Danio rerio: one gene and its partner. The protein of the gene in region 2 interacts with the protein of the main gene of each other region in a biochemical or structural test. Links are inferred from orthologs where the notes say so. Each region holds a gene or a part of one and is shown on either strand. Other genes may lie near its edges. The genes, in order: dedd1 and cflara.

What was found.
Region 1: the proteins of cflara (region 2) and dedd1 form a complex in vitro, tested with the Homo sapiens proteins (2 studies listed by BioGRID). The link is inferred for Danio rerio from reciprocal best matches to the Homo sapiens genes CFLAR and DEDD2.

Annotation. Positions count from the first base shown.
Region 1 is NC_133191.1:11,087,826-11,104,332, reverse strand, and holds the start of dedd1 (death effector domain-containing 1), read right to left. Parts: upstream 8,580-16,507; 5' UTR 8,424-8,579; intron 8,047-8,423; 5' UTR 7,863-8,046; intron 6,703-7,862; 5' UTR 6,682-6,702; coding exon 6,216-6,681; intron 6,066-6,215; coding exon 5,946-6,065; intron 3,083-5,945; coding exon 2,954-3,082; intron 2,585-2,953; coding exon of another isoform or gene 2,526-2,584; exon of another isoform or gene 454-2,525; intron 1-453. UniProt on the Homo sapiens protein: May play a critical role in death receptor-induced apoptosis and may target CASP8 and CASP10 to the nucleus. May regulate degradation of intermediate filaments during apoptosis.
Region 2 is NC_133186.1:32,567,850-32,584,490, forward strand, and holds cflara (CASP8 and FADD-like apoptosis regulator a), read right to left. Parts: upstream 9,706-16,641; 5' UTR 9,546-9,705; intron 8,712-9,545; 5' UTR 8,638-8,711; exon of another isoform or gene 8,619-8,637; intron 8,538-8,618; 5' UTR 8,320-8,537; coding exon 8,012-8,319; intron 7,786-8,011; coding exon 7,680-7,785; intron 7,541-7,679; coding exon 7,405-7,540; intron 7,230-7,404; coding exon 7,192-7,229; intron 7,098-7,191; coding exon 7,034-7,097; intron 6,648-7,033; coding exon 6,595-6,647; intron 6,505-6,594; coding exon 6,426-6,504; intron 5,781-6,425; coding exon 5,294-5,780; intron 1,783-5,293; coding exon 1,668-1,782; 3' UTR 1,233-1,667; downstream 1-1,232. UniProt on the Homo sapiens protein: Apoptosis regulator protein which may function as a crucial link between cell survival and cell death pathways in mammalian cells. Acts as an inhibitor of TNFRSF6 mediated apoptosis.

The DNA of each region.
Region 1 (16,507 bases), on a different chromosome or scaffold from region 2:
AAAAATACATTACCTTAACAATACGGCATAGTTTCTGATGAGAAAGGAAGAGGTTTACCAGTATGGACTATTTTGCTGCACCAAATTAGTGCATTACTTCTGACTGATAAGGGCATCTGCTACTGGGATGATAAGTGCTGTACATATATATTAAAAAAAAAAAAAAAAACTATAGATAAAACCATTAAAACATTGGGTTTCCTTGTAGCCTTCAGCAAAAGCTAAATGCTTTAGCAGGAGACATGAATGTGAAAGAAAAAAGCAGTTTATATTGAGTGTTTATGAGACCCTGCAGCACTTTTTAATGAGGAACATTATCAAAGCCATGCAGTCTTTGTACAAGCAGATATTACAGGTCATTAAGCTTCTGTTACAACAGATTAAAAGCATCTGAGTGTAAAGATGATGTTGACAAAGAGCATGTTTAGAGCCTAATCTTTGTAAGAAAAAACATTTTTATAATGACACCTTCCCATAGTGTGGAAACATGAGGAAGCCTGTGTTTTTTAAGACATTAGCATGGTAAAAATCACTGATCTTAAAAGATGAAACCGTCCTCAGATTTTTGCAGTTTGTAATTATATATTTGTTAATGTTTGGACAATCTGAGGGTAAATGCCAGGATCATGCTAGTAATATTGTGAAAAAATACATACATAAACATTTTTAAAAATGAGAATCTATTTTGTGTTTAAAAACATATTTCAAAATTTTAAGCACACCAGAAGATGCACTCCATAACCAAAAATGAAAAAGGCTGAAAAGTAAGCAAGGTCATGCAGATTAAGGGTGCGTTCACGCTTTTAGTATGGTTCTGCTGGTTCTTTGATCCAGACAAAAAAATAAAACTATGCATTTAGTTCTGGTTGGTTGAGTGTTCACATTAGCATTTTTAAAAACATTCCTATAGACACAAAACCTGGTGGCATAAAGTTTAATGAACCTTATTCATTTTAATATAATTATAACTTTATGTAATTGGTAGCATCATAAATGTAAAAGTATTGTAAGCTTGATTAAACATCCTCACTTTTAGTGTGCATATAGTACGCAAATATTTTAATCCCATTTTGATTCACATTTCAGTTGAACAGCACCAGAGTACATTAAGAATCTTTCAGCTTGTTTGGTGCACACCAACGTTTGCATGGCAGGTAGGGATGAAACGATCAAGCGATTTCACTATTAACTGCACTTTACTTCGTCGTGGTTAATTAATCTTAAATGCTTCAACACCTGATTTCTAAAACTGTTGCAACTTAACAAAGCTACACTAACGGTGCACTACTTCACATGTCGTGTCTTTTGTTCGCACAAGTTTGTTATTTCTAGCGAGCATAATGGGAGTGATGTGCATGCTGCAAGACGCATTCATGCTTTCCAGGCGCACCTAGTTGAAAGATTGGTGCAAACGCACCTTGAGTCACATGACAAGAACTGATCAATCAGCTTCATACTTTGTATGGAATATACACATTTGTACTCCAAAGAGAAAAAAAATTACAAAAAAAAAAAAAAACGAACAATTTTGTAATGTAGTTGATCTAAAGTGCATTTCAGACAAAGGTTCAGCAGCCTTCGACTGCATTTGTTTTCTTTAATAGGCAAATATTTAGCTAATATGATGCTTAGATTTACATTAGACAAATATTTTTTTTTAATTCTCATTTTTGTTTGTTTGTTTATTCACTGTTTTGTCATTTATTTTCAGTGTAAAATTATTACTCATGTTTAAATGGCAAAAACGTTTCTCATCGCTGCGACACGGAGGTAACAGTCGGAGGTATCACACATCAGACACGCACATTCGCATGCTATTTAAAATGAAAACTATTCAGATGCCTCTCGTTGGCGTGGCAGAACAGTGTCCTGAGTCATAGCTGGGCGCAGCGGACAGCCGCCGAATTGCATCCGGTGTGCGATCCTCTATAGACTATTTAGACTTTTTTATTATTATTTTGTGGTGTATTAACTTGTTACTGAGCAGCAATAAATAATACTTTAAAATATAAGGAGTTTTTAAATGATTTTTTTAAACTAGTAGTGTTTTGAAATACATAAATGCATAATATTCCTGATTATTCCTTTGACTATAACCGTACAACCAAAATCTATAATTGTTGCATCCCTAATGGCAGGGTTCAAATTTATACAAATAACCAGCACTAACAAAGATCATTTTAATCATTAAGTCTGAACAGACCCTAACAAATTATTGCAAAAACTAATAAATTATTGCAAAATTGCAGTGAACTCGAGTATGCGTATTAAATGTCAATGACATTTGGCTCCCACTAGGCTGTTACACAAGAACCTGACAGATTTTTATACTTGAAAGCAAATTGGAGCATGAGCTAAACTGGGCCCATTGGTATGTTGAGATTTGAATGTCCTAGAAAAACAGTTTTGGTAGAAAATATAACTTGCATGTAACCATTTTTCTTAACAAACTGTTCTGGCAAATTTGTGATCTTTTTTTTTGGCATTTTCTTACCTACTGTGCCATTATTGCCACTCAGTGTGCCTCACGTGCTCAGTTCTGAAGAGATTTTTAACAATGCCCTGTTGGCAGGACAGCTCCCATCTAGCAAAAGCATAAAGAGGCTTTGGTGTGAGCAGCCTTTGAGTCCAGTCAGAATGAAACTCAAAGTGATAACAGTGCAGAGTGCAGGGAATTCACAAAGGGATGAATGGAGATGACATGAACGTATTGTGTGACAGTTTGACACTGTCGTTCTGTAAGCATTAGAGGTTCAAGCACTAATGAATGAGTGACTGATTAATCACACTCGAGAAATGAAGCATTGAGGTTCACTCTTCAGCTGTAGAGCAATTTATATATGAAATCAAATAAAAGGAGAGAGAAGTAGCAAGGCAAAACGATTCACATGTTCAAAGGATGCTGTTAAATGAGACTACATGACAGAAGAAAACAGAAAGACAGTGCTCTTACCGCACGTCACTTTGTTGGGTGTTGACTGAGGCTGGATTTCAGGCGGCCCTCTTGATTTCCTGCTCCAGTGGTGACCTCTTCCTCGCTTCCTTCGATTGCTGGAGGCTGATGTCATTGAAGAGCCAGAACCTGACATCGAAAACACTAATTATCAACACTGGCAAAAGCAATTTATAAACACAAGTAGAGGTGGCCAATTTTTAAGAATACTTTTAAATATATGAAAATAATTATATTAAAATATATAATCAAAAAGACTGAGTCATTTGGCTAGCCTTGTTAGCCTTTTAAAGTCAAGTGCTATTTTGTGGCTTCCGCCCTGATTTTGCCTACACAAATTAAAAAGCTTGCCAAATCCACATGCAGAGGTGTAAATGCAAAAGTCTGGTCTCATTATAAAGAAAAGCCTTTTCAATTTTTATAAAACAATTTTGAAGGTGATTAAAATAATTGTATGTGTTGTCCGTGTTATAATAAACCCCTCTAATAAAGAGGCGTTTTTTTTTTTCTTTTGTAAACTCAAATTTGCAAGTGTACCTTTTTCTGGGTTCTGGGGGGTCTGGGTTGCTGTAATTAGTTTTGGTGGGTTCTGCACATGCCAGAAATCATAGGTAAAAAGAAAAATGTCTCTATCATAATCTATGCAAAAGTTATTCTATTCCAACTGATGAGAGAACAGAACCATTTATGGAGGTTTTGGGGCAGTACAGACATTTAAAATGTAAAAAACGCAGAAGTGAATGATGTCAGGGACCATAGTTTAGGAGGTTAAAGCGATGTTGATTTAAAGTCTTTAAAATGTACAATTACTAAATTTATTTTGTTAGCTCATATTGCTATTCTTGAGGTGAACAGTCTATGTATCAAAAAAAATACTTTCTTTAACAAACTATTTTCTTTTCATTACAAAACAGTAATGACATAATAAAAACAAAAACAGTAAATTAAAGTAATGTGACTGACAAAACTGTGAAAACAAAATGGTAATCCAACCAGTACACTCCTCAATTAGATGCAAGCAGCAAACATAATTCATTCAGTTTATTGCTGTGAATCAAACTGCAATTGTCAGTGAAATTATGAAAAATGTAACTAAATGATTTGCGTCACCACCTAAAAATGTTCACAAGTCTTCACGTTATTTTTTGTGAATTAAAATATTTGAACACCACAATGAGTTGTTGCTGGATTGAGGCATATAAATAAACTAAATTATTATTCTTTAATAGTTTCAATTTGTGAACAAAAATGTGTAATATATGCTTTCAATTAAACATTTGAGTCAACTCACCAACAGTAAATGCCTGGTTATTATATTACAATAAATAACATTAAATTCTGGGCCAAAAAAACAAAAATTCTGCATAAATTTGCTCCAAAACCAACATTGTAAATGATTTCTTACAATTAATGTAATAAATAATATAAAATAATTTTGTAAACAAAAAGTAAATATAAATGGCATTTTAAAAGCACTGCCATGACAGCCCAGTGGCGTTATAGCAAACAGGAACAAGTATATTTTTATAGAAATATCCAGCTGCAAGTTATTTCAGTGGACTTTGCTTTACGATTAGTAGATGCGGTTCATGCAAACATATTTTTATTAGTACATGAGCAAATTATCAACAAAGTGATACATTGAGCTGTTTTTTTTTACTCTGCAATGGTAAGCCATGGTAATCAAAGGGATAGTTCACCCAATAATGACAATTCTGTCATCGTTTACTCTCCTCTGACTAGTTTCAAACCAATTTGAGTTTATTCTTGCTCTGTTGAACACAAAATAATATACATTAAAGAATGTTGAAAACATGTAGCTGTTGACATCCAAAGCAGGAAAAACAAATACTTTAGAAGACAATGGTCACATTTTTTCAAACATTCTTCTTTATAAAGTATCCTCTTTTGTTTTTAAGAGAAAAAAACTGGTTTAGATTAAGTAAAGGGTGAATAAATCTTTTTTTTTTTTTTTTTTTGAGTAAATCAACTATACTCTTTAATGGAATTCATAGTGCAGTGCTTTCCGCATCCGGTCTGAAAGCTGCTTCACACTCAATGACTAGGCCTAGAGGTAGAGTGAAAGCAGTGTGGTAAACACCGCACACAGTATTGCTCTTTTTGTGGCTTTTACATTTGTTTGTATTTCTATTTTGACCAAAAAAACTGAAAATGCAATTTTCAGCCAATAATAATCACCGCATGAAAATGTGGTGCATCCCTACTATATTATATGATCAGAAATGCTAAAAAAAAAATGGGACTGGGCTGATAAACGATACCATATCGAAATTGCGCTATAATTTATGTTGATAATGATAATAAGCTATGGAAATGTTTTTTCTCGATATTGACCTAAGAGCCAATCACAGAGCAGACTTATGCAACAACAGGAATCTGTGTTGATACTAGAGATATGCTGTCAACCAGTATTATTTAGCGAGCTCGATTCACTTTCCCGCCAGCTGTTTTTGCTGTTAAACTGTTGTGTATTTTAATGATTACTGTTTTTACCATTTTTAATCAAGTAAAACATTTATTTAAAAATGTTTCTGTAGTTGTTTATTTTTAGACAATGCAATAAGTATATTTTTGTTTGTGTACTGTATATATGCTGTCAGTTACAGATCTTCAGGAATGTTATATTTTATATTGTATATCATAAGTATATCACAGAAAATCGGAATCTCCAAAATAGAGTAATGTGTAAACTGTTTTTGTTAATAAACAATACTTTAAATTTTATTCAATGAAGCGTCTGATCTTTGTGGCTTCAGTCATTGTTGAGATACTTTTTTAAAGCTGGAAGCATTACCAACTTATATCAAAATATATATCGTTATCGTTCAATATGGAAAAAAATTATCGAGATTGCATTTTTGACATATCACACAGACCTATATAGAAATAAACAAAAATTCTAACAAATAAAGCAAAAAAGAAAACAGTAAATGACTGTGCTCAGCCTTTTCTGTCTTCAGTTTCTGCTCACCGGCTCTCCAATGATGATCTTGTGTGTTTTCAAAAGATGGTATATTTGTGTTTGAGCCCACTTCTCTGTCTTGTCTAAAATCCACCTCTGGATAGTCTATCTTCTGTCGTTCTGGAGAAACTAAAAGAAAAGATAGCACATCAGTACCTTATAGAAAAATTACATCATACCATCTCAATATCAATAGCTTCATCACATCAATGTCATCATACATCAAGAATCTAAAAAACAATGACAAAATTCAAATGTAGTTTTAAAGCTGATGCTCACCGGTTCTTCTTTTCTTTTGTGAGACAAAAGGCAGGACATCATGTCGGGTCAGAATCCGCAGCAACTGAAGTAGAGGTCTTAGATTTGCATCGCTCAAGTACCCTCGTCTTTCCAGCTCTAACAGCAGTTCGACGCCACTCTTGGGTCGGTGGCGACTGGCGATAGAACATCCCTCCTTCTGCGGCTGCATTCTTTGCCATGACTTCAGAAGCCGAGGACACGGAGTATTAGCCTGTGGAGATCCATCAGGTCCTGGAGGCAGATCTTCAGTCCACCCCTCTGGATCAAGAGGATGTTTACCAGGATAAGTTTCGTCGAGGAGAAAGGACAGAACTTCCACATCAGTCTCTGTGAGTTGAGAACCCACGATTTCAAAGATCTCATGGAGTGAAAGCGTCTCGTAGTAGCTCAGGCACTCAGTCTCCTCCCAGTACAGGGAATATCTTGAGCATTTCACTGAAGACATGGTCCCTCTAAATGTTCAAATCTGTGTGGTAAAGAAGAAGTATGTTACATTTTAAAGAAGATTACATTTTAAAATGCTCATGGTCAGATTACAGATACTCTTTAGCAGATTACATAATTACAAATAATGCACAAAATCGTCACCTTAGAATTATAAGGTTCTATCTGAATGATTCTGAGATATTGAGCTTCCAATCTTTTGTATTCCTTATAGCAAACAGTATGTGTGTAATATGTTTTTAAATAAAAAGTTTTAAAATGTAAACAACTTATAAAAAAAACATCCCATAATGTACATAAGTTGTCATTTAATAGGAATATGTCCAAAACTCAATTTTGACAAAACTGTCAGATAGAACCATATCATTCTAAGGTGATGAAATGGCTTTTTGGCTATAAATTATAATTTACTGACTTTCCCTTATTCTTCAGCTATTTAAATAGTTAGATACTAGTGTGTATGATAAGGAGTATCTCTAATTATTCCCAATATATTGAAGAGCCATCCAAAAGCAAATCAGTTGTAAATGTAAATGTTTAACTGTTTGGCAGATGTGTTTATCCAAAGCTCCAGTTATTTAAATTTGTATAAATATGTGATGTTCACAGTTTCTGATGTCAATTATGGTCAAGCAAATAAATAAAATTACTTGCGTTTTATTTTACCTAAGAACTAGATTAATTCAGTTTAATATTTGAATACTATAAAATACATTGCATTTCTTTGTGTCTTTATAAAAAACTATATTTACATTTTGTTTTAGTTGTATAAAACTCTAATACAATTGTAATACATGTTTTAAACAGATTATATTATAAATCTGTAAGCTATCCAAATTAAATCTAAAAAAAAAAGTGTTGTTTATGGATTTAATCTGTAATTTAATCCGTAACATACTATAGTTTGTCAATAATCACTCAACACTATTTACATAAACAAATATTACATAAAGATAAGCTTGAAATATCCGTTATAAATAAAATCCGCTAATTGGCTGTTTTTCAAACATGTAAAGTAACGTTATATGTAAGAGCGTTTCGACAGTCTCAACAAAAACAGATGTTAGCCTCCGAGCTAGTTGTCAGCCTCGACTGCGAACTAAAATACAGTCTATGTAAAATTCAAATACAGCTTATTGTCTTTTTATCAGAACAAAACCAACAGTATATAAACATATTTACACGGTCGTAGAAGATTCAGCGAAGTTATTTTGTTTTGAACAGAGCTTTTGTTGTGGTCCGCCCTCAGTCCGTCAGCTCAGCAGCTCCAAATGTTGACGTCAGACGTTTCTCTCAGGCACACGCAGCGTCACGTGCACTCCTTATGTAACGTCACGTTTGAGGTGAGGAAGCTGACGCCGAGCAGCTGAAAAAAAAACAACAAAATCTACTAAAATTATATGCACGAATGATTTCGTTATTAGACTTATGTAGATTGTTTGTGTTTGATGCATAAGCGTAGCTAACCCTGCAACTGACTAACGTTAGATTTTCCTTAAGCTGACCTGACATCACACTGCACCAAACACTCGATGTTAAAAGACTTAGATGTTGTTGCATTCCAAATACAGCTCATTAGTGGGTTTGTTTTCAACACTATGATATATTAGTCTAGTGTTCTTGCAAAAATAAAATTAAACTAGCCGCGAGATACTTCAATCTAAATAGTTTCGATCATACAGGTTTCGATATGTTACTGTAAGAATAAAATGTGCGTATTTTCTGTAGTCCATGAAATCTTACCTGACACAAAGGGTTTTTGATGTGTTAACACTCAAGAATCCGACGAAATTCACCCACCAGTCAAATGGAAAACAACAGTCGGGTGCCAGTGAGTTTTGTGGACTGATCTCTGCACAACCGCAGATCGCCAAAGGTCTTCTAGAAAGAAGGTTCCGGGAAGGTCACTTGAATATGCTTTGTAGATCGAGTCTCCAAGCTCGTTAAATGGTATCCGCAGAAATTCGCCATATTGGTGAGGGAAAATTAAATAAATTTGAAGGAAAACTCTTTCGAGACGTTGTTTTTGTTATTGTTATAAAGTGATATAGCCAAAATAGGCCATCCAAAGGTGAAGTGTCTTGTCTCTTCAAAAGGTAACAGCCAATGACTGCAAAGAATTTCAAACTGTCGCCATAACATTACTTGACAACATTTAGCAAATTAATTTATCAGTCGAAGGTTGCTAAGTGGGGAGGGGCAATATTCTGAGACCAAAGGCAAAGTGAGTTGACTGATATGTGCAATATTACTTTTCAATAATATCAATAATAAATAAATAAAAACAAATGCACATTTAGAATAGTGATTCAGAAAAGCTGATTAGCTGGCCCATTTACCTGAACACTGCAATTTAAAAAAATGTGTCAGCTTACAATTATTTTATTATCAGTTGAACACACAAAATGTTAAAAACAGTATTTATTAATGACAGGAATGTGGTTTAATATAATATTAATTATAATTAATATAATTAGGAATGGGGTTTATATTATTAGTTTTCCATGCAATTTAACAAAAACATGGCCAAAAATGCATGGGGGCTGTTCCAGAAAGCAGGTTATGTGACATACACGGGTAAGTTTGAGAGTAAGTAGGTGGATAACCTCAACTTTGGTTCCAATATCGGAGGTAACTTCTGGGTATGTTAAGTAGCCATAGCAACTTACTCTCTGAAGATAACCTGCTCCGGAGCAGGTTATGTTCAGAGAGTAAGTTGCTATGTTTCAGAGTTTGTCTGTTTCAGAGAGTTTACTGAGCATTGCGTGCTCTTTTGATGAGAATATTTATGGATGTGGACACACAGATACAAGTTTTTTCGTTGTGCATAGTTTTTTTCATAACCAAATTCATAATGTTAATGTATTTAACAAACCTTTTTGAAATCAAATGTGACAAACCATGGGTCTGTGCTTACCATAAAAATCATTTAGTGCAGCTCTTTGTATTCGCGTCAGGGCATTTTAGGCAACTGTACAATGTGGCAGCATGACCACCTGTAAAGTATGCCTGGCACTGAACTGTTTTTTACACTTTTGTACAGTTCCTTGGTCATACATTACTGCGTATCATTACACAGTTGATTCAGAGCACGGGAATAGTGTAGTGGACAGTGCGTCGATAAAGAACAACGGAGCGAGTTCGAATCTCACTTACAGATCTTGAGTTTTTTCTCTCCTTCTGCACCCTCACATTTTACTGTATAATATAATAAGTGGCAGCTTTGTCTTTTGTAGGAAAATATATCTTTAATTTAAGATGTAGGACGTCGTTCTTATATAAACATTCAAGCACACACACCTACATTTTTTAATATAATATTCTTTTCAGGGTTTCTAAATGCTATTGTGTGCATTAATTGCAGCCAATTTTAAAGCTCCATCAGTCACTAAAGGACACTGATAATATAAAATTTGTCCAAAGTATAAGTGTGCAGGTACAACTTAATTTTCTATCCTTAATCTTTTGGTGTTTCAACTATTAAACTCATTACTGCTTCCACTTACCAGCTCATCACACACCCCACCTCATCACTATGTTGAGGCTAAATGGCTGATTTTCAGGAAGTAATGATTCAAGTAAATATAGTAAAAAACTATAAAGCAAATGTTGCTTAACACAATGTTTATTTTTATTATATTTGTATTATAAAATAGAATCATTACTGGGCACTACATTGTTACTTGCTGGAGGACAAAAGATACCCTTTTCTGCCTTATACGATGACACGTACCTGCAGCCTGACCCAGAGTAAATCTCAGCGACCCAAGCAGACAAAACAGATGGAAGAGTGCTAAAAATATATAATTAGTCAAAAAACTATGTTTAATCAAATAGTTTGGTCTGTTCATTTCTTCATTTCCTGAAATAAAATGAATGATTTTTTACACTGCTTTATACAAGCACCTTTCAACGTGTAACATATTTTTCATATACATTTCTCATCTTAAGCTGATGCTCATGTGACTTTATCTTTGAAGATGGACCTTATACAGCTACTTTAGAATTTAAATATGTAGATAAAAGATTTTGTGATCCAAGAGTAATATTCAAATATGGAAAAGTGCAGAAAATTCTTACACTGCTTGTTAGTTGAGGCAGAAGGAACTTCGTCTGCATGCAAAATAAAAAGAACCTAAAGCTATCTGACAACAATCACTTACAACAGTGACAGAGTGTGTGGTTTAAGTCAAAAACTCAACCACTGAAAAGCCTTTATTATAGGACACAGCAGTTAGACAGGCCTCTTTCTATTAGCTGCATGTCAGAAACAATATTCTAGAGTGTTAAATAAAGAGCTCCAGTAATTAAATATTACCTTTTATGATAATGTTTCTGTGTTTAATGACTTTGGACAGAGTTCTAGCTCCAGAAAGATTACAATTTCTATAAGCCTTATTAGTCAATACACATATTGTGGCCTTAAGAAATTAATGGCAAGAAAAATAAATGCATGAATGGTTACACAACATACTCAAAAAGGATTTTAAAGAGTAGTTTAATTTATCATTACAATAAAATGGAGGGTGGCATGTGTAATTTAATGAACTAATAAATTTTCTTATTATTTATTTTCTTATCTATTTCTTATTCTATATTTCTTTCCTTCGTTGAAGCAGATGTGTAATCTCTGTGTTTAAAACCTCCAGCTTCGCCTCTGTAAAGTGCGTTGCCCTTTTTTTTCACCGTGACTTTCTATGGTGACTCCTGAATTCGGCGATCTACTGAAAATGCCTTCAGGTGTGTGCCGTGCACGCGCATTAACCCGCGGTTATCTTCAGGAGGTTGATTTAACTAACTCTTGTCACCTGTTTTGGAACCAACATACTCGCGGTAAGCAGGTTTTGGGTAAATCAACCGAGAGTTTAGGTTTTAGCAGATGGTTAGTTAACCCAGCTTTCTGGAATACCCCCCTGATGTCACCCTTTATGCAAACTACACTTAATTTCTGTGGTTTATTTCCGCTACATTTCTTGGTTCATTCGCTCATTTATTTATTTATTCATTAATAGGCTTCTAACAAGCTTGTGAAACCAGGTTTTTCCATTGTTTTTCCCCAAAACATGGCAGTGTGTAATTTATGCTTTAAACAAAAAGCAGAGTTCTGTTCACAGACCTTGACTCCTGAAATACAAACTCCAAAAATCATAAATTATCATACCAGCATACATGGATAACATGGACCCAGACATTCCCATAACATCCTCACATGCTGATTTAGTTTCTGGTTAGTAATTTAGGACAACCAAATAAGGACAATAAAATAAGAATGTCCTCTATATTACAAAAAAAAATGGTAAAGAAAGAGAGAAAGAACAAAAGAAAGAAAGAAAGAAAGAAAGAAAGAAAGAAAGAAAGAAAGACCAAACCAGCAGGGAATAAGGCAATGTTTTGAATATTCACAGCTTTCTCTTGATATCAACAATTTAGTTTTTCTAGTTAAAATGATTATTATTGATAGGGATTTAGATTTCTACTATATTAGCTATTCTGCCCTTACTCTGGTGTCTCTCTTCCTAAAGTTAAACAGACAGATAAACTCTAAAGCAGATAATGCTGCTTTATTCCATGCCACAATTAATATGTTGAAACAGAGTGAAACTACGTGCATACAGTGCTCTATAGATATCTATGTACATAACATTAATATCTAAGTTGAAATATATATACAAACAGATAATAAACTTAATGCTTCCACAGGTGATCACAGGATGAGTGATCCAATTAATCTCAATTCAGTTCATCTTTATTTCTATAGCGTTTTTACAATGTAGATTTGAGTCAAAGCAGCTCAACATAGAAGATTATAGTAAATTGAAACTGTGTCGGTCCATTGATGTGCAGCTAAAGTACCGAACCATGCAAACCAAGGGCGACAGTGGCAAGGAACAAACTTTACCAATTGCCGAAAGTGAAAGAAAAAACCCTTAAGAGAAACCAGGCTCTGTTGGACACGACCTTTTCTCCTCTGGCCAAACTTCTTGCGCAGAACTGCAATCTAAGCGTCTGACGCTGGAGAGCGCTGGACGTCCATCGTGGAGAAGCTGCAGGTGGGAGAGGTCACCAGCTGGTGTGCAGACTGACTCTTCAGGATCATTGAGGAAGACTCATCTGTCACTGGGGTCTTACAGGAATCAGTCTCATGCTATCCACTCCTCCATGACCTCCACAGCAGCTGCTCAGGATACGGCCTGGTCCAGGATTATGGAAATCTCTGGAATAATAGAAACAGACTAACATAATTGATGTTCAAATTGTAATTTATTTTGGGAAGTGTTCCCAGCTTCAGCTGCCCTAAGTAATGCAGACTAACAATCCTTTGGAGGATTTGGATTTCAAAAGCATTTGTGTTTTATGTGTTTGCTAATGCATAGAGATGTGTATTTATTCTAGTTTTAAACTGACAGAGGCATAACAGTAATGATGTTACTCCTCTGAGAAATAAAGTTAATTACCAGTTCTTCACTAGTTTTGACCATAGGCTGCCATTTTTAAATCAATACTTAATTTCTCACTATTTAAATTCCATTTTAAATATCAGTAACAGTTGCTGGTAAAACCTTTTTTTTTCCAATAAATACATGGTCACTAATGATAATCTTTATTCCAGTATAGGCCCACTGAATATCAAGAATTCAGATATCACTGAAATGGTATTTGCTGATATGTGTGAATGTATCTCAGCTTGATGCATTTAGGAATTTCTAATATTGATAACAATAATTAATTTCCTATATCTAAAATAACTTTTTTTTTTGCTATTAGCAATCACACTGTGCCTACACTACCTGACAAAAGTATTGTCGTCGATCCCTGCTGTAAGAGCAACAAATAGTAACTTGACTTCTAGTTGATCATTTGGAAAAGTGGCAGAAGGTAAATTTTTTGATTAATCATGTTGAACTGCATCACACATACTGCTGACCTATTGGAACCCTCATGGACCCAAGATTCTCACAGAAATCAGTCAAGTTTGGTGAAGGAAAAAATATGATTTGTGTTTACATTTATTCAACATCAACAGCCTGAGATATCAAGACATTTGCTGCCCTTTTCATTACATATCACAGGAGAGGGCAAATTCTTCAGCCGGATCACGCTCCTTCTCATACTTCAGCCTCCACATCAAAGTTCCTGCAAGCAAAGGTCAAAGTGCTCCAGTATTGGCCAGCCCAATCACCAGACATAAAAGTTATTGAGCATGTCTGGGGTAAGATGGAGGCGAAGGCATTGAAGATGAATTCAAAGAATCTTGATGAACTCTGGGAGTCCTGCAGGAACACTGTTTTTGCCATTCCAGATGACTTTATTAATAAGTGATTTGAGTCATTGCAGAGATGTGTGGATGCAGCCCTCCAAGCTCATGGGAGTCATACACAATATTAATTATTTTTCCATTGCACCATGACTTTATATTCTATACTGTACATTATTTCTGTTAAGTCTTTTGTTTTAGCAAAGTCAGGCCTTACTATCCTCATTAAATAATAAAAAATCAAGGCATAATCATATTTTATTTTGGTAAAAGAAGCGTACACTAGAGGCCTTTGCCTTTCAGCCACTGATACCAAATCATCAACTAAGTCAAGTTATTTGTTGTTCCTAAAACTTGGATAGGCCACAAGGTTTTTGGCAGTGTGTACTGGAAAAGAACAGAAATCCAATTCCTGAAATTAATAGCATTTAGCTAGAAAAAAAGTATTTATTGACATCACATATTTATAATGCTGCAAATGAATGTCAACTATACAATGTTCATTACTAGGTATGTCTGTTCTTGAATATTAAAATATATTATATATTATCAAGGGCTGATTTAGTGATTTTGGGGCCATAAACAATTCCAGCCAAGGGGCCCAAAAGTTCTAGAATGCATCTTTTGTACTTGAATTTTTAAAAATTATTTTCATATTTTTTTAGTTTTGCTGTTTTTTTCTTATATCATTAAACCTCATTTTCTATATTTTATCTTAATGCAAAATAATAGTTATAACATGTAAAGGACATTGTATCCATTTAAAAAAAATTTAGGTGCATGCCCTGTATGCTGATCCGTGTCACTAGGAGGCAGTCGCAAGTTTGACTCGTGTTAACTTATGTCAACAGAAGAAGATCGTCACCGCTGTTTGCGAACCACATCATATCCGCTGCACATCAACACAGTCAACACATCTACACAAAGTGCTGTGAGTATGATTGTTACTTTAAGGTTTACTCCCCTTTTAAAGCACAATTCTAGAAATATTTCGTCTCACTGTCTGTCGATTTCTCTATGTTACTAACGTTACCGATTGATCTCAAAGTTAAGGGGTATCGATATATATTTTGAGAAAGAGCGCTTGCTGCTGTCTGTAACGGATTTGATAAACAAACTTTATGGATTATGTTTTGTGACATACCAAAAAAAGAAAACGTTGTTTATTGTCTGACTGTAATAATTTATTTTTTGAGGCACATCTGACGTAATGTAGCAGCTTAACAAACTTGCTCTACCGGATTGTTTCTCTTCTTGAACGCAGAGTTTCAGTTGCAGCCCATGAGTGACATCATTTTTCCAGTAACGTCATTGAACACGTTCATAACTTACCATAACATAGAAAGCGAGCTTCATAGATTAAGTGAAGACATACAGAGGAAGTTTAGAAAGTTGCTTTCTGTGAAGGAGATCAAATTCATTGTTTTCCTATCAAGTGTAAAAGTCTTAGTATCCCTTGACTAAAGTTATGTGCATGTTCTTGTACTTATAACGTTAGAGGTAAAGTTGGTTTTATATTCGCACATTTAGAAGTCCCTATATTGTTTACCATGTTACTTTGAATATTCGATCGGAATTAGCCTGCAAGTATGACTTCTAAATAACATTAATTCTATCTAATTGATTGTGAACAATGTTGTACTTTGATAATCATTTGGTGCTTATATGATTTTCCTATTCGGAATTTGCAAAGAATACTTTTCTGAAATTATATTGTTAAGGAGAATGTCTGAATATCCGAATATAACTTTTCCTTTATCTTATACTTCACTTTGAAGAACCTTTCATCTATAGTTTGCTATTCATTAATCCAGCCTTTTGAAAGGGTTTTTTCTTAATAGGTAGATCTTTTTGCTGTTGTTCGCCTCATTTTCTGTTTAGTTATGAGATTTCAATGCTGAATTTAGATGAAATTTTAAGCACTTTTTACCTGACTTTATTGAATCAATTATCTTGTTGGATGGTCATCATAACCACACTTTTTGATGTACCAAAACATTTCCTAAATATTTATAATAAAGAAATAAATATGGCAAATATGTGTTTTTAAAACAGAAATATATTGCATCATTTATCATGCATCAACGTTTTAAATTAGAAACTGTAGCCTAGTGTAATTTATTAAGCAAATAACTGACTGGCCAGCACATTCAACTTTCCTCAGTCAGAATGTGGCCATTTAAATAATAATAAAAAACTAAAACATAATAATAATAATAATAACAACAACAACAGTTAAGAGCTTCACAGTTTTTCTAGCCTCTTGTATAAGTACTTTACACTTTATTGGTTATTTTTTGTTTCAAGAAAAGTGATTGATAATAAAAGTTACTTGTCAAATCTTTTCCCAATTTGAAAACAATAAAGTAGTGAAAGATGACTTTGCTTATGTCAGGTGTTTTCTTGCACAGCTGGATGTTGGACTCTTGAAAAATAATTGTTTGTATTGGCCAAAACTGATTAACTGAAGTCACACCAGGATTACGCTTGGTCTTAATGCCTTTTTCGATGGGTTATTTTCACTATTTATGATGGCATAGCAGTCAAAAAAGAACAAATGAGCTCATGTATT
Region 2 (16,641 bases):
AACAAAATGGTGGGTGATTATTATTATTTTTTAATCATGTACATTCATTCTTGTTTCCAAAAATAACTGCGGACTGGCTCTGTCGTTTATATAGTTTATTGCAAGAAAGACAGAAGTTTATTTGTGCATTTATGTAGCTTTTTATAATAATAATAATAATAATTAAAAAAAAAAAAAAAGTACTCACTTCATGCTGCCAGGAGTGTTTTCAGATTTTTGGCTGTCCACACATTCAGTTCATTCATAAAGCTTATTAATCTGCTAATACACATCTTCCATCCTTCAATGACATTCTGCCACCTTGACTATTAATCGTTAGGACTCCAGTACAAAAGCAGGTTATAAAGTACAATGTGTTATTTTTTTAGATGTTGATAATTATAGACAATTATACACAGTAACGTTTGAAACAGAAGGGGAAAGAGTAATTATAATTCCATTTATCAATCTGCTAATACACATCTTCCAGGACCTTCAATGACATTCTAGGACAATTATACATGTATACTAAAGTTTAAAGAAAAGAAAATAATCAATACAATTATACATTTATATATTAATCTGCTAATACACATCTTTCTTGACCTTCAATGACATTCTAGTGAAAATGACTATCAATCATTAGGTTTCCGATAGTAGTGTACAATAGCTAATATATATATATATATATATATATATATATATATATATATATATATATATATATATATATATATATATATATATATATATTTTAGATATTGATAAACATATAACCTTCAAAGAAAAAAATATATATATGTAATTGTAATTCAACTGGTTCTTCTGAAAACTAGACAAAGACTTAAACGGGTGCCCAAACTTGGTCCTGGATGGCTGGTGTCCTGCATAGTTTGGCTCCAACTTGCCTCAACACACCTACCTGGAAGTTTATACCTAGATAAAGCTTGATTAGCTGATTCAGGTGTGTATAATTGGGGTTGAAGCTTAAATCTCTAAGACACCAGCCCTCCATGATTGAGTTTGGGCACCCCTGGTCTAAGAAAATGTAATTTCATCACTAATTTTAAAATCAATGCCTAAATGAAAAGCATTCACGGATCATTTAAGAAGAGGGTCTAAATAATTAGGGCTTTAAAAGTGCATTGATTGATTAGTACTAAATGGTCTATAATTCTAGTTACAAAACAAATATTTACTCATACTACACATCAACAAAGATAAAATTGTTGGACAATACTTCTTGGTTATTTGGTTATATAGAGTTTTATATGCAAGATGGAATATAAAAGTGGTGTTCAGTAGTGTTTTCACTGCCAGTTGTCGTTGCTTTTCTGCTTTGGAGCATTCAAATGTAATCTGTATGTATGTGTGAATGTAAAGCTGCTCTGATTAGTATTTAAGAAGCAATAAACAAATAAACAACATCTTGACTAATGACTTAAGGGTATTCAGGACGATAGTACTCTGACTGCAAATGAGAACATTTTTGTATTAGCTGCCACAAGTGACAAATAAATATTAAACAAACATATAACAAAACATACTTGAATAATACAGCATTAATGGCAGTATGTAGCTATGCTAAGTTTTTACTCTAGCAGCAGCGTTTTGTTTACAAACATTTTTTACTAGCGTTTGTAAGAAAACAGAAACCAAAGTATGGAGTGGTTTGTGTTGTGTTGTCCTTATAAGTAGAGTTTTTTCTGTAGTGTGTGAGATTGCTGAAGCTGGTAATTGTCAGAATCGTGACTCAACACATTTCTTTGTACCTCCTTCATGACATCCAATATGGGCACATTTCTGCAAATAAAAGGAAAAATATATATAAATAAACGGGATTTCATGATCAGATTGGTCTCTGTCTGCAAAAGGAAAACTAAAATTGATTGAACACTGACACATTTCTTGTTGAATATGGCGGCTTCAGTGTTAAATTTCAAGAAGCAATAACTAATGGTCTCAATGAATATAATGTTGTATTAACGACAAACCTAAAGATGGATTTTATTGCAAATATTGTAAATATTGCAATTCTGTTGTGCTGAGCTTGTTTATTTGCATTAGGGCTGCTTGAGACTGGAAACATATATAACATTGTTGTTAAGTATCATGATAATTATGTTAAAAATGTTATGATATAACATTTCCCTAAAAATGTGAATTTTATTAGCTGCTTTTAAATAATTTTAAATAATAAGTTATGTAATGATAGTAAAAGAAACAAGTAAAATATAACTAATTATAATTCACACTAAAACTGTCCAGATGCAAACATTTAGTCTGAAACACTACGAATGAGTGAAATCCTCAGCAGATATTCTGACACTTGTCCTTTTCCTCTCATGTCTGACTCTCGGCATAAGTATTAATTTTCAGCTCTGGGTTCACCTTTGGGTTGCTCCAGCTAATAGCAGAACAGCAACTACTGTAGAGGTGGCAATAAAAATAATTAGGCCAATGTGATTGGTCTGAAACAACCAATGCATAAAATAAATGTAATTTATCACACACATCTTCGATACACATTTATTGTGATGTAAATCATATATTGCAATATATTGTGCAGCCCTAAATTGCATACACATTATCAGCTTTTTAATCAGTTGAAAACTCACGAGGAGCTAATGTATGCTTTGTCACAGGTGATCTATTGCTAACTCATGCGTTGAATTGTAATGGGCAAAAGTCTATGGCACTCTGATCATTCTGTCTCATGATAACATCTGTCCACGATGTGTCAAACTAATACAGATATTTTGGAAGCAGATCCACTTGATTGTTGTGTACTTTTTCAAATTAATGGATTTACAAAGGACTCATACAAGAGAGGACCAATTTTCCCAAGCCGGAAACACCCTTAAAAACAGCTAGAAAGCAGCTTATAAATAGTGGTGGGCAGGGGCGGACTGGCCATCTGGCAGACCGGGCACTTTCCCGGTGGGCCGACGTACTTTTTGGGCCAGGCATCATCTTATGATCTGATCGGCCCATAAAAGGCTTAGCAGCCTATCGTTTTTTTCTGCCTTATTAATTGACGCTGCTGTGATCTGTGACTCTGAAAGTAGATGCTTTTTTCCCGGACAGACAGACCGGGCCGGCCCATTTGACACTCTGCAGCCCATTGGCTCTTTTCGGTATTGACATTGGGCTGGCCCAATCACAAACTCCTATTTTGGACTCCGTGTGAGCGTGTGTCGTCTGTGTGTATTTGTCAAAATAGTCGAGAGTCAGAGAGAAGAAACGCAAGGGAGGCGCAGAGAAATCGCGGGAATTACACCGGCGTTTCATTTAGCGATTCTGAAAAGTTCTCTGTACAATCTAGTACACGGCTAAAAGCGCAAATCACGTGACCACACACATGCACACTCTCTGCCAAGAGCTGCAGCCAAGTAGTTCAGCGGCTGAGCATAAACCCCAGGTGAGAGTATAGTGCATGTCAGACAGTTCATCTGCTGGATGATCTCATATCACTATAGTTGTTAAACGTGATATTGAATTTATCTTGTTGTCTCTATCTAACAACTCTTATGTCTTTTGAATCTCTTGCTCTCAGTTAACTGTTTTGGCTGAGTGCAAAGATAAGCTAATATATTAATTAATGTAACCACATACACTGATTCTGCACATTGACTGATTGCTTACCTTTATCGTTTAAATTTAATGTACGTTACACTGTTATAATGGTCATTATTGGTTATTAAAACTGATATTCTGCAAAAGAGACAGGGTAAAGTTCATTCTTTTCAATGGAAATGAAAGAAGGCAGTTGTATTTAAGCCCTGTTTTGTTATAAATATGCAGAGTGAAGATGACGCTCATATAAATATGCAGCTACACGAGGCTGTTTGGTGTCTGTTAATCATAATTTCAAAATGAAACAAATTTCCTTATATTATGTTTTCATTGTTTAGATGAAAGCAGATGACCAAGCAGGATGAGGAGAAAGAGGTTAAAATGTAACACTGTTCCCTTTTAAGATTTGCCCATGCATTAGCAGGCAGTTTTTTTGTTATGTTTATTATTGAATATAGGCTGAGTGAATAGTGTATTGAATAAGCTAAATTGGCTGTAGTGTATGAGTGTGTGAATTAGTGTGTATGGGTGATTTCCAATATTGGGTTGTGGCTGGAAAGGCATCTGCTGCGTAAAACATGCTGGAATAGTTGGCAGTTCATTCTACTGCGGCAACCCCTGATAAATAAGGGACTTATGCGAAGAAAAATAAATGAATGAATAGTGTATTTTTTTTAGAACTCAACAAATATCTTTATGGACAGTATACAGAAATTTAAATTGAGATTAAAGTTTGTATTTATTTATTTATTTAATATATATGGCTTTTGTGTTTTATAATTTTTTTTTATTTATGACGTGCATAGATCGATAGCATTTTGATTGAATTTAGTGGGCCGCTCTGGCCCAAAATGCCAGGGCTGATTTTTTGCCCCAGTCCAGCCCTGGTGGTGGGCAAAGCGAGGCTTCATAAAACACTTAAACAGTCAAAGCAAAGTTGTCGAAGCTTCAAAACCTGTTTCTACAGTGACACCTTGTGGTCAGTTGTGATGTATTACTCTGAACAGCTTCAACAAAGAAACCGTTCAGCAAACTGAGGTATTAAACCCCACGTTGTACACCTGAATTTTTAAGTGATTTAGTGAAGTGGTGAGACTTCCTGACTGGCATGCAGAGGTAATGGGTTTGAATCCAGAGTGATGCAGTTATAGACGTTTTTAAATGCTCTGTTTTAGTAACGAGTTTTGTTTTAACATTGGTTTGTCTCACATCTGAATGTAACATTTCATTTAGACTTTCCCAGAAATTGCTATTTTTAAAATACATATTGCTCAATCTTAGTAAATGCATTGATTAAAACGAGACCATTTATGGTACTAACAAATAAGCTTCATAATTTAGCATTGCTGGTGTAATACAATGCAGCAAGAACATTTATTTCATGTTAAGGAACAAATAAATGCATGATTTCAAATATTAAAGGGATAGTTCACCCAAAAATTAATTTACTCATCTACTCACACTCAAGCAGATCTAAACTTTTATGATTCTTGAACACAAAACAATATATTCTGAAGAATGTTGGAGAGCAGCAGCCATTGACATCCATATTGTTAACAAAAAAAAAAGTCTTCCAACATCCTTCAGAATAAATGTTATATTAATAATTTGTCTCCAACATAAGAAACTCAAACAGGTTTGAAACAAGCGGATGAGTAATTTAAAATATTTCTGTGAACTGTCCTATTAACATTGGTAAATTAGGCACTAAGAAATGTTTTATAAACAGTGGCCATACCTCTCATGTCCTTTCAATAAAGCATTGTTCAATGCATTCAGGTAAACCGACTGGTGCCCGGACTCTTCCAGCAGTTTTACCTCTGCTGTACAGACACTCCAGAGGACGTCCGCTGGCATTGGAACACTTCCTGTGTTTGAACACTGCCTGGAAGCTGGTGCATCTGTCTCAAGGTATTCGTCATCCATTGAGGGCATTACTGGGGCTTCTGTGATCCTGTAGAGCTGGGTGAAGAAGATTTTTGGACACTTGGTTGCGTTGAAAAGCTGTTTAAGATCCTTCAGGTTGATGCCGAGCCTGTTCGAGTCGGTAGCCAACAGATGAGTGTTTGTTCCTCTGCTGATGAGGCAGCAGACAAAGCATCTGACCCTTTGAAGAATTCTGTTCAGGCTCAGATCTTCCAAAACCTTCTGGGTTTCCTTCAGACCCAAGAGAGAGTGAAAAACGACCTTGAATCCCAGACATTCGAACGTGTGCTTCAACATTTCTGAAAGGACACAATGTGTAGATGTTTAGATGCAGAAGTTATGTGTAAAAGAAAATGATGAACATCCACAGTGTTAGTTCTGTTCTGACATCAATGTTTTCCCCAGTTTGTAATTACTGGGAAAATAATCATGTTGTATGAAAATTATGAATTTGTTAGGAAAATCAGGGGTATAATATAGGATTTTTTTTATTTTACTCTGAGCACACTTGTCGGAATAAAGAGTGTCAATGAAACCAGGGGCAAAACAAGTATTCAGAAAGTGTAAACTGTCATGGTATTTTTTCCCCACCTAAAACAGAAAGTGACCTTATGATCCTCTTTTAACTTATGAAAAAAGTCAATAAAGAAATTATAGTATTTTATTAGTTAAATGAGGACCTTAAGGTCACTTTCTCTAGATGATTCTCTAGAACAAATACAAAAGAGAAAGACTTTCAGAAATAGAAGTACAAAAATCACTGTGGCAGTACCTTTTTTTTTTTAAGTGTGTGTTACCAAACAGTCCCTCAGTTGTACTGTGACTGTACATACTAGTACCTAAAAAGTATTAAAGTGTACCTTTAAAGTACCAATGTGGCCCTGGTACAAAAGCCCCAGTGACAGCTTTCGTACCTTTATTTTGAGAGTATGACACACACTTACCTCCATCATAGCCAACACAGTCAATAATCACACACAGGCCTCTTTGTTCGGGATTCATTTGATACTCCTCTGTAATAGCCTAGCAGATATAAAGACAACTTATAAACTTTAAAAGAATGGCAATTTCTATTTTAATTGTTTTTAGTCAGCCGAGAAGCTGATAACTTACCTGTTGATAGTGAATCCCTGTTTCAGGCACAGAAAGCTTCAATTTGTTGAACTCTAGAAGAAGATCACAGGGTCAAAAATAAAGTGATAATTAAGCAAATCAAATGTTTGATTCTGTCATCATGTACTCATTCTCGAATGGTTTCTTCCCAACCTTTATGAGCTCATTTTTCATCTGTTGAACACAGAAGTTATTTTGAAGGATGTTGGAAATTGAAACCTGTGACCAATGACTTGCCCAGAAAGAAGAGCAAATACAAGGGAAGTCAGTGGTATAAGCTTTCCAACATTTTTCAAAATAAAGTTTGGGTTCAACAGAAAAAGGAACCTCAATTAGTTTTGTGAAATGTGAAGTGTGAGTAAATAATGACAGAATTTTGTTTGAACTATCCCTTTACACCCGCTTTACACATACTGTACATACCTACATATTAACTCACCATGATTGAAGCACTGTGATTGTCTCACTTGCTTTTCAAAAGGCTGACACTGCATAGGGGTGAACTGAAATTTTAAAAAGTAGAAAAACAAAGAGTTTAAAAATATGCTTTATATACTTTTCATATACTGTATCAATATATTTGTTTAAATGTCTTACCTTAAAGGTATTTGGAGCGGCACATGGCATGTTCTGACCTAAATAATTTTTATTTAGTAAATTTAATCACGTAATTGCTTTATTTGATATATATTAGTAAATAAAATAACTGAGTCTAGTTGCCAAATTAAGAGCTTTGTGGTGCGTTATAGAAATGCATGTTTTTTTTTTGCAGAAGATTTTCTCTTTTACTTTCTTTCAAAAGGGACTGACCTCTATTCCTGTACGCCTGAATTTTTTTGACAAGGTCATTTCTGCGAATATTTTTAAGACACTTTTCAAGAAAGTCCAGCTTCTCACAAGATACTTCATTTAATTTCTCCAACTCCACCACCACATCTAGAAAGCTCTATTGGAAATCAATTGAAACCAAAATGAAATAGCACACACATTTCTAGAAAAATAGCATATTCATGTTCAGTTTTACCTAAATATTCTGCAGAATAAATATTAATTTGAACAGACAGAAATATTCAGTAAGGTCTTACAGTAGCTCTAGTTGATCTTTCTTTGGGCAGGATACTGCTTAGGAGGAAGATAAGAGATTGTAAATCCTCTTTATCCAAGTTTTCACTCACATCTGCCATTAGAACCCTGTATAAAAGTAATCAATTCAATAATCGTACTGCAAAAGAGAGTGTAAATAACACACATGGGTATTTCTACATGGGTATTTCTAATGAAACTGCTCTAATGACCTAAAAAAACAAACAAATGTCAAGCTCTAAAATAGTTCTTCTTTACTAAAATTGTATTTTTCCACCACATGGGTCATGGGTTAGGAAATATCTGAAATGTGTTCATTTGAAGAATAAATTACCTGTAATCTGAGATGACGCGCTCCTTTCTGAGAATTCCTTCTACCTGTTGTTTGTTGGTGCCAAAAACTTTGCGTAGTAAATCATAGCGCTTCATTTGAAACATGAGCTCCATCAGCAGAGCATTTCCAGAATGAGGTTGACCTGCTTGATTGGGGTTCTGTTGGGCAAAGGCCAGCAAATCTCCTCTCAGTTCTTCCACACAACTGTTGTTGAACAAATCAGTGCAAAGATACAGCAGGATCTTAGACTCGTCGCTGCTAAGAGATGCGGTCACTTTGTTAACCAGAGTAGAAAATCCATCTGCCATTTCACCGTATGGTGTTGTATAAATACTTTAGGTAATAGTTTGGGTCATTTTAAAAGCAGAATTGAATTTTCTATGCATTTTTAAAATCTAATTAAGTTAGTCTAGAAAAAGGGCTGTATTTTCTTTTTCTTTTCTTTTTCTTTTTTTTTTGCAATCAATGAATGAAAATTGCATTTATCTTGACAGAATGGAAGAATGTAGCCACTTTGGATTTACACCTGTAAAAGACAAACAGAACACCCAATTTAGCAAAAAAATAAAAAAATAAATAAAAAAAAACATCAACAAATGAAAGATACCTGTAAAAGGCTGAATTACCTTCAGTGACCTTAATTTGGAGCACCAAATTCTTTGGTGGTTTTGCCAGCAGCGAGCTTCATCTTTTGCTGACACTAAGTTAAAAAAAATTTTTAAAAAAAGAGGAGGAGAAAGGGGACTCATCACTAGATGGATGTAAATCTAAATGAAACCATAATGATGGAAAGTACCTAGACATCCACAACAGATTTTGTGGGGGGCATTTTACCACGGTGGTATTTTTTGATATTCTTTAAAATACATTACATTTGATGTTTTCAAACATCCTTGTCAGTGTGCTTAAGCAAGGGGATTTCCGAAATCAACCATGGAATTTGTATAGCGTCACTACACAAGCGTTTATCTACTAACTAGCCTATTTCACAGCGTTTATCTACTAACAACGCCTTTTCATTGTTTTTGGCATAACTTTTGAATTCCGAAGAACCACTTCGGTCGTAAAAGATTAATCGATTCTTTAATGTCTTTATTGTGAAAACATTCGACTCGAGCTGATTCAAAAAGTTGAATGTATGAATAACTAAGTCTCCCGACAATACTAACTTACACCTGTTCCTAAAGCCTACGTGGACAGAGATACAGGCGGAGCAGATAATTAAAGGTCACAACAGCAATACAAAACGATACAATACGCGTATTCTAAAACAACTACTACGTTTCACCGTCGACTGACTTGAACTGCCTTTGTTTACATGTTGTTCACAACGTCTTCCGTTCAGTAGTTAGGACTCTTCAACTTACAGCCGAATTTGTCCGGTAAAATTGTACTTATAGTAGGTTACGTAGGCCATTTATAGAACTTGTTAACGTTAAGTGTTTATCGACTAACTTGTATGAAGCTATAACAAAAAATCTTACTAAAAGTAAGCTATTTGATCAGAGAGAATGTATTTAAATGATATTTTTACCTTTTACGTCGTACGTCGCCATCGTGACAAACTGAAGCAAAAGCGAAAGCAAAGTTACCAAAGCCTTTGAGTTACGCGAAGTCACGCCCTGTTCCGGTCGATCGAGACAAGTAGTGGTGCTCACTGCAGAGCCATTTAGGCAGAGCTGAGCTCCAGCGAGGGGGAGCTTGAGCTCTCGTTCCTCCTTTCATGCACTTCTACGAGTGATGTCACTGGGGTAGGGTTAGGGGTGGGGTTGGTGCACGCATTAAAACGAGAGGGTGCTCGCTGCAGAGCCATTTGAGCAGAGCTGAGCTCCAGAGAGGGGGAGCATGAGCTCTAGCTCTGCCTCCTGAAAGCTGTTTTAATGCGTACACCAGGATTAAAACAGCTTATAGGAGGAGGAGCGAGAGCTCATGCTCCCCCTCTATCGAGACAAGCTGTACTGATATCAGCCCTCATGGATGATCAGTCATTATTCATCAAACAAAGTCAGTATAGCAGATACTCGTTGCTGGCTTTGCTGAAACATTTTTCAGAGATATATCAACGATCTAAATTGGGCAGGTTTAATTTATATAATGGATTCACTATAATGAAGGAAATATGGCAAGATTATATGTGTAGGCTATAATACATCTTTATATGTAATACAAATCTTTTTACATTTAATAAATGTCTAACACTATATTATTATTTTACTCCAGCGATAAGTATTTATTTGCTCAATTTTCTAACTTTTTTTATTAATGATTTCCCACATGAAGTACTATAGTGATTTAAAGTAAGTAATATATTTGTTTTTATGTTTTTATATAGATTTGTTAAACCATAAAGTACTGGTCATTTGTGATAATTATAGTTGCAACAAAATAGTAATACAAACAAATTGACTGATAATAATAATTATATATTTAAATATATTTATTATATATATAATATATATAACTAAAAGTTGCTGCAGTTTAGTAAAAGATGAAGTAGTTATTTTAAATTATCAACTATAGTAATTCATTTTAATGTGACACAATGTTTGTTTTGTATATTTTACTATAAAACGATTCTAACTAAGTATAACAACATTAAGATCCTGAATTAGTTTATTACACTCAATCCTATGATTAGATGGTCTGTTATGCTTTCTTAGTGTATGTGGATATGTAAATAAAGTCATGTGTCTAACCAACTATTTTTATTTACATAATTTGAGTTCCAAAACTGCACAGATCAGATGTTAAAGTGATCGTTACGATTTAGCTGATTCTATTGGAGATTTTTTTTTTCACTTATGCAGTTTTGTTATGCAACTACGGCTAATTTGCTAACAGACTTGTTGAAAAGAATAAAAACAGATTTTTTCCACCTTTCACATTTTTCATTTGTGGACTCTAATGCTGAAATAAATGCATAGGCTGCTGCAAAATAATATTTTGCTGATTTGCTCATTTTATTGTAATTTTCACGCCAAGTATAAGACATTTAGTGAATTTACTCACTGAACAAATATGAACAACATCTAAGGTAAGCAGTGTCTGGGCAAACAAGCAATGCTCAAGAGAAAACAAGAAAGTTTTAGTACATTTCATAGATGAAAAGATACAGATAACTATAAGAACTTACTATTTAATTTTGGTCTTATTTTATAGTACTTGCTTCATACTTACTATAAACCATTATAAATTACTTTTATATAACCTCCAAATATTTGATCAAAGCATTCAACAGTGCCTTAACGTTTGCATGATCTAGACATATTACCTATGATTAGTACATATAGGACTGGATTTAGTGATTTGGGGGCCCTTAACAATTCGAACCACCGAGATGTCCTACAGTAATATGCACACTTGGTAATTGTATTTTATTTATTTAGTTGTCTTTTTCTTGTATTACTCAGTCTTGCTTTGTATATTTTTCTCTTAACGCAATTTCTACATTTCATAAGATTTGATTGCTTAAAATGAGTTCACAACTAAAAGTAATAAATAAACTTTTTGGGTTTTAAAACAAAATTTTCATCCGATGTGACTGCTGGACAAAATACATTTTATTTCATTTAAGTTTATAGTTATGACTCTGCCAAATTCATTTAGCATAAATCCGCAGGTCTTTTGCAAAATTCTCCGCAAAAATGTCTGCAGATTGTTTCTGGCCCTAGTAATAATTAATTTGTTTTTTACAGGTTTGGTAATTATTTAGCATTGTGACACACCTTTATGAGAATGAAATGAACTGACTTTCAGAAAATACTTGAAACGACAAATGAGATAAAACACTTTATTATAAATTGTAAACAAAATACCAGTGAAACACACCCAGTGTGAAAGCTAAATGTTGAGTCCATGCTGTCAAAAACAACGTTTGTGCTTTGAAACCATGTTTACAGAAAACAAGCTACTTTTTTGCCAGGGGATAAGATTCCATATAGTCATTCAAGTGTTGTTTGTGAAACTGTGTTAGGCTGCGGGTCTAACTTAAAAATCAGGTCAAGGTCTTGCATTGTGATCAACATTATGACTGTATATTGTACAGATCAGCACTTGGAAAAGCTCCCGAAGATAAACAATAAGATCAAAGAATCTTGTGCAATAAGCGGAATCCTTTGATGATGATTCTTTCACAACAAAACTGTAAAATGATACACTTTACAAACGTATACCAATTCCATATTTTAAAGCAAATAATTTAACAGTTTCTAATCAAAAAAGTGCAAATTTTCCACTATTTTGTCTTTGCATGTTTTACTTTAAACGTCAGTTTAAAACAGCTTAAATTAAAGGAACAAATTACTAACATACTGACTTGATATATTTTTTGGGAGCATGAAGGTTTTGGTTTAAGTCAGGGGTGTCTAAACTCGGTCCTGGATGGCCGGGGTCCTGCTGAGTTTAGGTCCAACTTGCTTCAACGCACCTGCCAGGAAGTTTCTAGTTTATCTACTGAGAGCCTGATTAGCTGATTCAGGTTTTTTTAATTAGGGTTGGAGGTAAACTCTCCAGGACACCGGCCTCCCAGGACTGAGTGTGGACACCCCTGGTTTAAGTTAAATGGATAGTTCACCCAAAAATAAAAAATGTACTCATATTCAAGTGGTTTAAAATGTTAATATCTGTTTCTCCTTGTTGAACACAAAACAAGATATTCTGCAGAATGTTGGAAATAGTAATAACAAAAAATACAATGGAAGTCAATGGTGTTTTTTTTTTTCATCGATCATCGGTATATCTTACTTTGTGTTCAAAAGCAGAAGCTCAAACAGGTTTGGAACAAGTGAAGGGTCAATAAATGTTGACAGAATTTTTATTTTTGGGTGAACTGTCTCTTTATTTTACTTTGGTTCCAATATACATTTACAGTATTTCTCGCCACATCATGTGCAGTAGTATTCACCAGAGATTTACAAAACGTTTTGATATTTTTATTAATCCATGTGACATTTCCTGGTCATGAAAACACAATTTTAACATTGCACAATATCTGAAGGTTTTCCACGACTGCATGATTAAAGTTATAATAAAATTGTAAATGATTGTACAATGAAGTGAGATGAGTGCTATAATTCATACCTCTCCATCAGATCTGAATCTGAATGATCTGTTAGTCTGGAGTTGTCCAATTATCTGTTAAAAGGTTTTTGAAAATGCAAGATGATTACACCATTCCCATCATGTGTGAAACAGTCTGTTGCGTTTAATGGTCGGTGTCCATGGTTGAACACTATTATAGCACCATTGTTGTTACTCCTGTGGAAATACAAAGCACCACATAGTTGATTTAAACACAAATACAGCAATCCAGTGATCTGAGACATACCCACACTTGGATGTGAACACAATATTAAAACAATAATAATAATATTAAAACTGTACAGCACAAAGTGTAAAAGTTGTCAGCTTAGAGAATAAAAAGGTTTCAGTCTAGTGGCTATTTCAAGTGAGCTTAAGAGTCAGAAACTTGAGTACATACAGGACATGATAGCTTCTTATCAGCTGTGTGCAACTTGTGTAATGCAGGGCAAAGGTAAATATATAGCATTTTTCCGATCATTGTCTATGAGGGACAGATCCTCGTTTGATTTTAAGAATGTTTCTACTTAAGTTACTGCTACACATAAAAACATTCAAAGTACATGACGAATATCTGTGGTTGATAAATAAAACCAAAGATACTTAAAAAAGTACTTTTCTGTATATTAGAACAGATCTGACTGATAGATGATAGTAAATAAAAACCTTTAAGGCATTTTTTCTAAGCAAGTTGCAACTTATTTGCTTTGTAGACATAATAATAAAATGAGCTTCAGATTTCCAGGTGAATCAAACGTCAGAAGTGTAAATATGAATCATTATTGCATCATAGTGACTCAGAATAAGGCTGTGGTTTTGAGCAAATTTACAGTTTTGATTTGATCTTTATAATGGCTTTATAAGTAAACAAAGAGGCAAAAACTCAGAAACTCTTGTTGTTAGCGACACTTTAAGTTCATTAAAAGAACTGCATAAACAATGTACGAGAATGTGCTTCAACTTGCCAATATACTAATGATGAAGTTGTTTCATTCTTTGATTTGAAACAAAGAGAAGTCGGAAATAACTTTACAGCACTATACTGTTAATTAACCTTCAAGTGGCAATTAGATGAGTATGTAAATACGTGATACGCATTTTACTCTCAATAACAAAATGAGAAAACTGTAGTAAAGTAAGCATTTGATCATATAGATGTGTATCTGTTTGCGCAAGATTTGCAATTAACAGCATCATACCGACAGTTCATTTGGAGTCATTAAAATTTTGATAACAGTTTGATTATGAAGTATGTTAGGGCTGCACAATTTATCGCTTCAGCATTGATATCGCAATGTGTGCGGCCGCAATAGTCACATCACAGGATTTATAACATTGAGTTATAGGATTATATAGTTTAGAATTTATATATATTTTATATTGAGAGTCTAAAGCCACAGTTCAAAACACAAGATATGTGGAGTTACTGCAGAGTTCAACCATAATATGGAGTAAAAGTTGTAACGTTTGCACGTTTTTAAACCCTAAGAGAGTTTAAAGCAGGAGCGTCAAACTCAATTCCACTGCCCCGCACAGTTTATTTCTTAGTTCAACCCTGCTTCAACTCACTTAAGCCGCGGTCACACTGGACATTTCTCCCTATAGACTTCCATTAATATGCACGCGGATGTGCCAGGTGGGAAACGCAAGCTCATGCGACAAATTTCGTAGTTTGCTGCGTTGCAAAGTTCAAGCTTGGAGAACTCTGACCTGTAAAATTGCATCACTTGAATGCATGAAACCAATCGAGGATCAAAACATGACATCTCTGTGCAGAAATGTATAATATGGACCAATCGCATGCTTTTTTAAATGTCTAATCATCTTGTTTAATCCCGCCTCTTTTTGCGGCGCCATACAACAAAATTTCCCTGTAGGATTCAAACAAGCCTGAAGGACTTAATTAGTTTGATCCGGTGCGTTTATTTAGAGTTGGAACTAAACTGTGCAGAGCTGCAGCCCTCCAGGAACTGAGTTTGACACCTGTGGTTTAAAGCATTCAGGCGGAAGCAATTTTACCATTTGTAACATTAATAGAAGATCATTTTATTGAACTATTTAGTAAAGTCTTTGCAGTGTTATTTTATTTTATATGATTTGTTTTTATTTCTGTGCCTAAATACAATTTGATTGCCTTGACAAACCATAACACACAGTTTATTTCACTTTTATATGTGCTCTATTGCATTTACCTATGCTTGTAATTTGTTTATAACATATCATGCATGACTCGCTTCCCTACAGAACCATCCCAATCAATCTAAAATTAAGGAATTATTTCCAAATAGAGATATTTAACAAGTCATCTGGTGAAATTGTATATACAGTTGAAGTCAGAATTATAACTCCGCCTTTGCATATTTAAATTTGTTTTAAGTATTCACCTAATGCTTTAACAATACAAGGACATTTTCACAGTATGTCTGATAATATTCTTTCTTCTGGAGAAAGTCTTATTTCTTTTATTTTGACTAGAATAAAAGCAGTTTTTAATTTTTTTAAACACCATTTTAACATTAAGTCAAAATTATTAGTCCCTTTAAGCTATATATTTTTTGGATAGTCTACAGAACAAACCATCATTATACAATAACCTGCCTAATTACCCTAACCTGTCTAGTTAACCTAATTTACCTAGTTAAGCTTTTAAATGTCACTTTAAGCTGTATAGAAGTGTCTTGAAAAATATTTAGTAAAATATTATGTGCTGTCATCATGGCAAAGGTAAAAAAAAATCTGTTATTAGAAATAAGTCATTAAAAAATATTCTTCGTTAAACATAAATTGGGAAAAAATAAACAGAGGGGGCTACTCATTCTGACTTCAACTGTATATTTCAATATGTGTAAAACGAAAAAAATTGCAATGCCATATTTTTCCAATCTTGTGCAGCCCTAAAGTATATTTTAATCATAGAAACTATTTAAATTTAGCTACATGAGACTTTGGACTAATTTTCTTTGCATTGTACATTGACCTTACTCCCAGCAGGCACACATCATAAGCTGTTAATATTAGGTTAGATTTAGGTCATGATGTCAGGTGACCAAAATTCTGTCAAGCCAGCGTCTAAGGACAACATTATTTTGACATCCAATAACGAAGTCAAATTACTTTGATATTTGGTTGATTTTGAGTTGTGTTGGAAAGTGACCAAAATCCAACGTCTGAAAGATGTCATACTGGTAACGTCAACATGACTAGATGTTGATATTTGCTTGATTTTATGTTGGACATTTGACAAGGAAGTCGGCCTGACAATGGGTTCTGATGTCAACCTGATTTTCATGTCCAAACAAAATCCAACGTCCTCATGACGTAGGGGTACAACGTCAATATGACGTCATGTTGACATCCTTTGCCTGCAGGGAATAGTTCCATTAGCTTTATCCTGAACATTGTAAACACTTGTGTTGAAATAATGTGTTTGAAATAATTGAATTAAACTCAACAAAGTTTGAACAAAAAATCCTTCAAAGATTTCATCTTAGTGACAAGTAAAAATGATTTATGCCAATCAACAACATGCCATCCTTCTGACATCACTTAAA